Saccharomyces cerevisiae S288C: one gene and its partner. The protein of the gene in region 2 interacts with the protein of the main gene of each other region in a pairwise test. Each region holds a gene or a part of one and is shown on either strand. Other genes may lie near its edges.

The links.
Region 1: the proteins of BSC6 (region 2) and EMP70 interact in a protein complementation assay, tested with the Saccharomyces cerevisiae proteins (one large-scale study listed by BioGRID).

The regions. Positions count from the first base shown.
Region 1 is NC_001144.5:293,132-297,999, forward strand, and holds EMP70 (Emp70p), read right to left. Parts: upstream 2,964-4,868; coding exon 960-2,963; downstream 1-959. Other genes in the region: SRL2 (Srl2p), read right to left, coding at 1-441; RAX2 (Rax2p), read right to left, coding at 3,458-4,868. UniProt on the Saccharomyces cerevisiae protein: With TMN2 and TMN3, plays a critical role in the late stages of a nutrient-controlled pathway notably regulating FLO11 gene expression. Acts downstream of RAS2 and TOR. Essential for cell adhesion and filamentous growth.
Region 2 is NC_001147.6:63,475-68,003, reverse strand, and holds BSC6 (Bsc6p), read right to left. Parts: upstream 2,384-4,529; coding exon 890-2,383; downstream 1-889. Other genes in the region: PFK27 (6-phosphofructo-2-kinase), read left to right, coding at 1-443; RTC1 (Rtc1p), read left to right, coding at 2,654-4,529. UniProt on the Saccharomyces cerevisiae protein: Probable transporter.

The DNA.
Region 1 (4,868 bases), on a different chromosome or scaffold from region 2:
TTGCCTTGTTTCCGCTTCGTCATTACTGTTTCCCCCCAAGTCTGTGGGGGCTCCAACGTGCAATATGTCGTTGTCAATATCACTAGAAGTATGAGTTTCCACATTCAACTTGGTATTAGTAGTGTTAATTCTTTTATTAAAGCAAATAGTATGTGTAGATTGCAGGAGGTCGAAGCTCTTCGGATTGGCAAAATCAATATTCTGCTCTATAATTTTCACAGGTTTTGTTGGCAGTATTTGTGCAATTCCTGTCATTGAGTTTCTAAATACATTCTTTTGGTCATATTTTGAAGTGCTCTTTTTGCTTTTATGTACTTTTTTTGAAGAGGACGCATTCACATTTGTTACTTCCAATTTCTCTTCCTCCATTTTTGGCGTTTCAGAGGGCTTTCCGTAATAATCTTCAAAGGAATTTAAAGTAAAATTCTTAAAGTTGGACATCCAAAAGGATCTTCACAATATAAGCGTTTTTCTGTCCACCAGCTTCAACAAGCTTCAGCCTACTACCAATTTCTAATACTGTTTTATCTTATTACTTGCTTACTTATCCACTCCCATTGTTTTGTCCTAGATGACAGCATCACCCGGACTGAATATTAAAGCGTCAGTGTCACTTATTTTAAGTCATAATCAAGTCCTTTTAATGTGGCTATAGATTAACCCTGTACACTAAAGCTGTATATTATTTCCTTAAAGGAGCATTTATTCCCAAACTGTAACGCAGAATGTCATTCCAGAATCATGGAAAAAAGATTCAAATAAATAAATGTATATACACCAAAAATTACAACTTCGAATCCTATAGTACTTTTAATCTTTTTGAAAAAAATATTACTAAAAACTATGTATCATGTCCAAAGGCCATAGGGCCTAGCATTTTCTTTGTTAAAAAAGATAAACAGTAGAGAAATAAATAAAAAACGCCCTAACCCAACATATAGGACCTCTTTTTCGTTGGCCTAGTCAACTTTAATGGATGAGTAGATTTTTCTAACAAAGAGCATACTGCTGATAAAGCCAATTGACCCCGTTACCAAACAGCAGAGTAATGAAATGACTGAGGAGTATCCCACGTATAAGACAATAGTCGTGAATCCACCCAACTTAAATTTGGTGAATAAAATAGAATGAATAAACACATACAAAGCACAACCGGCGCCTCCAATTATGAATCCTCTCCATTGCCACTTCCAGTTCTCCAGGCATAAGGAATGATAAGTGATCAAAATAGTGACGAGTGAACTTGTCAAAGTTAATAGGAGGAAAGAGAAAAAGAGGAAACCAAACATGTAAAAAATCTTATTAAACCATAAACTTGTGTATATGAAATACAACTCAACGGCGATGGAGCCAAATGGAAAGATACCAGCAATCAAAGTAGCTGGTATAGTCTTTAAATACCAAGGCTGGAAGGGTATTTGTCTTGCGATTTGGTTTGTCTTGGTTGGATGTTCATCCCAGTGACATCTTTTCCTGGCAATCAATGAACCAGCAAATGATAATGGGATTGAGAACAAAAACCATAGAAAAACCATAAAAAACAGAGTACTTGCTGGTATGACACCAGAAGAATGAACAAACATTAAGAAAAAGTTCAACGCAATAATTATTAGCAGAATAGCACCAGGAACTAGAAGTGGAGTCAATATCAAGTTTGCCTTCCAGTATGGCCCATTGAAAAATTTGTAGATGCCCATAGATGTATAAGAGCCGACAAACCCGAATAATGCATATAAGATAAACATAACAGTGGCTAAGGAACCTCTAGAACTAGGTGATAGGAAACCCAATGCAGCGAAGAAGATACTGCAAGTTACCATCAAAAATAATTGAACTCCTGAACCAACCAAAATTGAAAGGGTTAGCGATTGACTTGGCGAACGAAAAACATCACCATGATTCAATTTCCAACCCGAATCTTCTTGAAAATCATCGTCCAAATTTAACTCGTTGTAACGTGCGAAATCACTTTTCAGTGCGCGCAATAGCGAATGGATAACAACAGATGACAATAAGACAACAACTAAGGAGAAATTTATCAAAGAAAACCATTGAATAGAAGGATCATATACGTGTAAATATTTGTCCCACCTGGTGGCCCAAGAAGTCGCTGATTCATTGAATTTAACGGAATAAGTAAAATAAACTTCATTATCATTTCCTTCGTCTAGCATCAATGGGCTGCCAGTCGTTTCACATGTACCTGGACTGGAACGTTTTATGGAAACCGGTTCGACGATAACACCAACTACACGATAGTTACCTTCACCACGATCGTGATATTCAATCATAATATCGAAATGGTTGGCAAAGTAAGGCAATTCGTAAGTTTTCACCATGTTACGATCATTACGTGTTTCCAATTCCACATCCTTATCGGTGGTTTCTGCCCCTTTTGGAGTAGCCTCAATGTCGGTTCCTTGAGTTACCTGTACAAAACCAAGGTTGAAGCCAGCACCATAAAAACTAGTCTTAGTTCTGCCATCATAAACCTCTCTTGCAGCCGGTAATCCATCAATAAGCCAGTTTTGGAAGAAGCCATTTTTTATCAATTTATTGATGAATTTAGCATCATCTCCCGGAATTACGGTCTTACACAGGGATTCACACTCTTTTTCTTGTAACATATTCAATTGGAATGGTGAATTATAAATTCGATCACCAAATATAACGGATCCCAAGGATTCAGGTTGCTTTTCGACTTTTTCAGGCTGACAAAAATGGAATCTATTGTAATAGTAGTCGTATGAGTACAAGAAATTTTCTTTATCGCCAGAAACGTTATTACCGTCCTCATCTTTGTGTTGATAATTCATTGATGGAGTTAAATGATTAACGAGCAATGGGATGTTGTCATTTTCCCTGTAAGTGGTAGGCGCTACACCTGGTAAATAGAAGGCTTTGACTGTTGACACAAAAAAATACAACAACAAAAGCTGTACGTGTGCCATTTTGTAAATCATTCTGTTTTGTTTTCCTTTCGGTACTTGCTCTCTGCTACTAAATTAATATCTGAAAATATAACGGTAGCAGATGAAGGAAAAGCTGGACAAGGAGCCAAAAATTAACTTAACTAACGTACCAAAAAAAGATACAAATAAAAACAACAAAGCAGTTCAAAAACCTTGAATTACCTTTTTGTTTATCATTAGGCCTATTTCTTCGAACCGATGACATTTTTCATGGCTTCACCAAGTAAAGAAAAATTGCCGTGAAAAAAATTTAAAGGGCTGTAACCCGGACTTTTGTATTATAAGTTAAAATCACTCATTCTCAGGCAGTATTGGTAACATTCCAAGTGACTTCCAATACGTGTTGAATTTACTACTAACATTCCAGTGCAAGTAGTAATTTTTATTAAGTTTTGATCAACTTAGGATTTTCCTATTTTATTTTTGTTTATTATATTAAGTGTTCATTATTTTAAGTAGTTATATATTATATAATACAACCCCGATTAGACAAACTTCATAAGTTTTTCGGGTGGGACGGTATCAAGCATTTCATTCTCATCAATTCGCGGTTTAATGGGCTTATAATCACCCTCTGGATCCTTAAACACGTAGGCAAGAATGACGCCTGCAATACCAAGGACAGAAACTGTCCCTAATGCTAGTGCAAGACCAATTAAAACGACAAAACCACGACCTATTTTCTTCTTCTTCGATTTTGATTTAGATTCACTGCTTGCCGATGAAGATGGAGGCTGGGATGATGTTGACTGAGGACTTGTCACAGTAATGTTCACATTGGCAAGTGGTGACTGAGAGTTGAATTCAGTTGAAACGTCTCTATTAATAAAAATTATTGGATTGTAATTGGAAGTATTTGTTGTTTCTGAAATAAAATATGGGGTCCATTTTTGGAAATCAAACAACAAACTTTGTAGGTATCCGTATTGCGAAATATTAAAATTACCATTAAGTAAGAGGATACTGCCATTATTAACATTGTTGATTCCTCTCTTGTTCAAAGTGTTGGATTCAATATCTGTGTATATAGCTGAAACAGAGCTAATAGAGCTAGCATTGCCAGGTAACGAGGTAATATTCCATTCTTGGTTTCTATAGATAAATAATGAAGTATCATTCCATGCCACTATGGAGTCTTCAGTGACAGTAAACGAATTCAGTTTCCCTTCAGAACCACTCAATAATGGAATCATAGTAGAATTGGTTAAGTTAAAGGATCCTAAACGTATAGATTGGTATTCTTTTGTTTCAAAAAGGCCTGAGATAATTAATTCTGATGAGTTGGTGAAGGAAAGTTGTGTGATTTCACCAAAAATCGTGTTATTGAGGAAGGTAGACCAAGTTTTGCTTTCATAATTGTATAGACATAATCCGGTGCAATTCGGCTCAGTCATTTGGAAATCTCCGCCGACAAGCATACTACAGTTTTTTTCAAAGTTAACTAAAGCATTTATTCTAGCATTTGATCCTAGTGTTTCATTAGCAATCATGGTCAAATTTCTCAAATCAAAAATCGACAGTTCTGCTGTGGTTGAAGATCCTGCACTGACAGCTAGTAAAGTTTGATTATCAGCGTATAGCATTTGAGTAATACCGCTAGACCAATTCCAGGAAGGATAAACTTCATTAGAAAAATAAATTTTGTTTAGAGAATCCACCTCATATGCATATGCCGTGGCAGACTCATTTAAATAAGCTCCCAGGTAAGGTACAATACCCCCTTCTAGGTTAAGTGGCTCTATTTCATTTTCGTTCAAAAAACGTACAGACCCATTCAAATTACCATATTGCATATGAGATACTGCACCTGAAAACAAAACATCGCCATCGCCATTGTTACCAGCCGCCCAAAGTGATAGACTAAAGGAACTGGAGTTCCGTATAAGCGCATTGGAA
Region 2 (4,529 bases):
ATGAAGACTACTTAGACAAACCTTATGAACTTGCCATCAAAGATTTTGCAAAGAGATTAAAACATTACTATTCGCAGTTTACACCTTTCTCCCTTGATGAGTTCAATCAAATCCATCGATATATCAGCCAACATGAAGAAATCGATACGAGCTTATTTTTCTTCAATGTTATTAATGCGGGCGTCGTTGAGCCACATTCTTTAAATCAAAGTCATTACCCTTCAACCTGCGGCAAGCAAATTAGGGACACCATTATGGTTATTGAAAATTTCATCAATCACTATTCTCAGATGTTTGGTTTTGAATACATCGAAGCTGTTAAATTGTTTTTTGAAAGTTTTGGAAATAGCTCAGAGGAAACTTTAACTACACTAGACTCTGTTGTTAATGATAAATTTTTTGATGATTTGCAGAGCCTAATTGAAAGCAACGGATTTGCTTGACTGATACTTTACCATACGGGAGTTGAATATCGGTACTCCTTTATTATATTTATGATCCTCTCCAGAACTCCATCTACCTCCCGCCTTTTAATGACCATTTTTACGACCTTTTCGCATGTTTTTCTATTCTTTTACAGTTTCCTTGGTACCGCTAGTTACATTATGTTATCTTGAAAAGGCTACTATACACTTTTTTTGCACTACTGAAGCAGCTTTCAAAAGCTCTTTATAGACTTCAGATAGTATTACTTTTTCCTTAAAATTCTATCTATTTGTAAACGACCAAGAGTGTCATTATGTATACTATATATCAAAAAGTTCCATATGTTGTCTGAAGTTCCTTTTATCTTCCGCCTTTCTATCTTTCTGTTACAATTATTCAACAGCTTTATTTTTCTAATTTTGGAATTAGTTGCAATGCACTGGCACCGATGGCGTTTCTGAAACTAAAAATATTCTTCATGCCCTTTTATGAATTTAGGATACAATGTCCATTCCAATGTAAATAACGCAACCATAATCCAACACAATAGTGGGATATACTGGATTCCCACTGTGTGTGCAATAACTCCAGCCAAATATGGAATGGCTGCACCACCACAACCACCAACGGCGACGGCAACCCCAACCCCGCTCACATGTAGTCTTTTGGGCAATACTTGTAATGCAACTATACTTGCGTTTGGGAATAATGGTCCGATAAACGTACCACAACAAAAAACAACAAAAAATAACACGACGAAATAGAAAACTGAGCTTGAATTGATCAACCCAACAAGCACAAATAAGGTGTATGAAGATAGAGTTAAAAAAGCGTACGCTTTGCTTGCTTTATACTCGTTTTCGAAGAATCTTTCAGTAACAAATCCTAGACACAACCTGCCTACAGTCAAACCTGTCCAAAACGATGCCGCTATGTATGACATAGCAACCTTATTACTTGATTTAGTTTCCAATAAATAACTAAAGAACCATGAACCAGTTGTAATTTCAGCACCTAAGTAAAGGAACAAATACAATGAGTACAAGAAAATAGCAGGATTTCTTAAAAGTTCAAAAAATCCTGGGCTCGCCTTGGTAGATTCCATCAGCGAGTTATCACCCGCTTCTTCCACATCATTGTTGCTTTCTTTGTTTTCCACAGAGCAGAGGTAGTCGTATTTACTTGCAGTTTCAAATTTAAAAGCTGGGAAGATTACAATCATGCCTATTATAGAAAAGAACAGAGGAATAAGGAAAAAAAGAGACCAATGACCCCATTCAACAAAATATGAAACTAAGGGAGGAGTAACCATAGCTGCTGCCCCGTAAAGACCATGCATGATACCCATGAGTTCATTCTTATGGACTAAAAGACTGCCCATTAAAACATTACCGGTAGAATCTAAGATGCCGATCCCTAAACCAAGAGGAAGGCCACAAAACATACAAACATAGAAACTAGAAGGTGCAGTTGCTAAAATGATAAGAAATACTATACACAAACCAGCTGCTAGAAGCATACCACCTCTCATACCAAAGTGCTTATTCAATCTCTCTTTTGATAAAGACGCCATCACATAACCACATAATTGGACTATAAATACGTTTGAGACATCTACCCGCGATATATGATAGTATTCAATTAGCGTAGGAAGTAGTGCACCTACTGTTTGATCGTTCATACCAAAGACTACGAACATAATCAAGCATGCTATCACCTGCAGCTTTACTAGTGGTACAGTTTGATAGTTTAGTGGATATGTTTTAACTTTCTCGCCCTGCCAGTCAATTTCTTTGATTAAGTTTGTATTGTTAGGTAGACTATCTTCATCTTGAGAATTTCTTCTGGAGTCTGATGATGATAGCAGATTTTTCAACTCTATTGGGTTATGATGTGAAATTTCAGTTGTATACATTCCATAATCATCTACCTTTGGTGGAACCGAGGAAGCATCCATGCTGAAAACTTATATATGGATTAAATTATACTATGAATCCCTAGGATCTTATTCTTGGTTTCTTACTATAGCATTTTAGAATACTGTTGAATGTCTAGCTATGCATGATCGGAGAGTTTAAATTTTTCTGTCTCGGAACGTTCTTTTTAATTTGTCAAAAACATCGATATATAACGATGATTACTGAAAAAGGAAAACCGATTGATAATACATATGGTGCGATTGCTGGCTGAAGGCGAGTGAGCTATTGAGTGGATTTAGTTGAAAATCATGAGCTTATCACCACACGTAGAAAATGCTTCCATTCCCAAGGGGAGTACCCCGATACCAAAAAACAGAAACGTTAGTTCTATAGGCAAGGGCGAGTTTCTTGGATCTTCGTCAAGCAACAATTCTTCTTTTCGAATGAATCATTACTCAAATAGTGGACAACCTTCCGTGTTAGATTCTATACGGCGACCTAATCTAACTCCAACTTTTTCTTACAGTAATGGGGTTTATATGCCTGAAAGTCACAGAACTAGTTCATTCAACGATAGTTATTTGCCATATGATAAGAATCCTTACGCAAAAACAACCGGAAGCATGAGCAATAAATCGAACATGAAAATCAAAACAAAGAAAAATGCAATCAACACAAATACAAGAAAGTCGTCTGGACTCATTTACACCACCAAAGTGGATAAAGAATTATCTAGTATAGACAAAGTGAATGATCCAAACATTAACGGTCTTGTTTGTGCAGGTAAAACTCATTTGGGGCTCTATAAATTCTCGCCCTCAGATAGATCTATCAAATGCGTTCATGATTTCATAACACCTAATAGCAACACCTCAACAAGGGGAACGACATCCCTTTTGCCCAAGCTGAGCAAAAGAACAAGACAGAACAAATTTAGTACCATTGCGGATGTTAAGACTGGATTTAATAATTACAAGAACTGTATTGCAGTGTGCAACAATTCTACGGCGATATCGATATATGATCTCAATAAGAGTTCCTCGATAGACAATCCCTTGATAACATCCTTATGCGAACACACTAGATCTATCAATAGTTTTGACTTCAACATGGTCGAATCAAACCTAATAATAAGTGGTGGACAAGATAGTTGTGTAAAAATATGGGATTTACGTTCCAATAAATCTAAAAGCTCAAATAGATCTGACATTAGTATAAATACCGCATCTGACTCAATCAGAGATGTAAAATGGATGCCCGGTTACAATTTTGCATCTAAGAACGATCAAGGTTCATCAACGTATGGTAATTTAAAAAGCGGTTACAAATTTGCTTCTATTCACGATTCGGGATACTTGCTAAAGTTTGATCTTCGACAACCTGCCCAATACGAAAAAAAATTAAATGCTCACACAGGACCCGGTCTTTGTTTAAATTGGCATCCCAATCAAGAATACATTGCTACAGGTGGTAGAGACGGTAAATGCTGCCTCTGGTTTGTTGGCGACAATGCCAATGCCGCCGAAAATACAGTCCTCAATTACGGGAACTCTCCCTCGTTACATGCCCCCAATACGTCCTTGAACAATAGCGGCTCGCTGGCATTTCCCAAACTAACAATTAATACGGGCTATCCAGTCACTAAATTGAAGTTCAAGCCTGCTTATAGTAGTAATATATATAATTCATTACTAGGAATATCGTCAATGGGTGACGAAGCTGAAGTTCGCATCTATTCCTTGGCAAGAAAGTACATTCCAAAACATGTTCTCCTATCAGAAACGCCTTCTTTAGGATTAGTATGGTGGGACGAAAACTTGATCTTTAATATCGATAAGGGGACCCGTATAAATGGCTGGGACATTAACAAAGAACCAACAGTGCTCGAAAATTTGAGCAAAAATACAACAACTTGGAGAGATTTGGATGGTAACGGTTTACTTTCAGTTGACCAAGAGATAGGCTCATATGAGGTGGTAGAACCGGAGCTTCAACCTACCTCAAGTACCACATGCAAGAAGCATCCAGGTACAATAAAAAACCCGAAGAATGGCAATCCAGAGAACCAGGGAATAATTGGAGGGATAAAAAAAGGATTTAGCCATACTGGATTAACAAGTTTTACGCCAGAGAGGCCGCCTACTTTAAAAGCAGGCCCAACGTTTAGCACAAAAAGCTTAACAT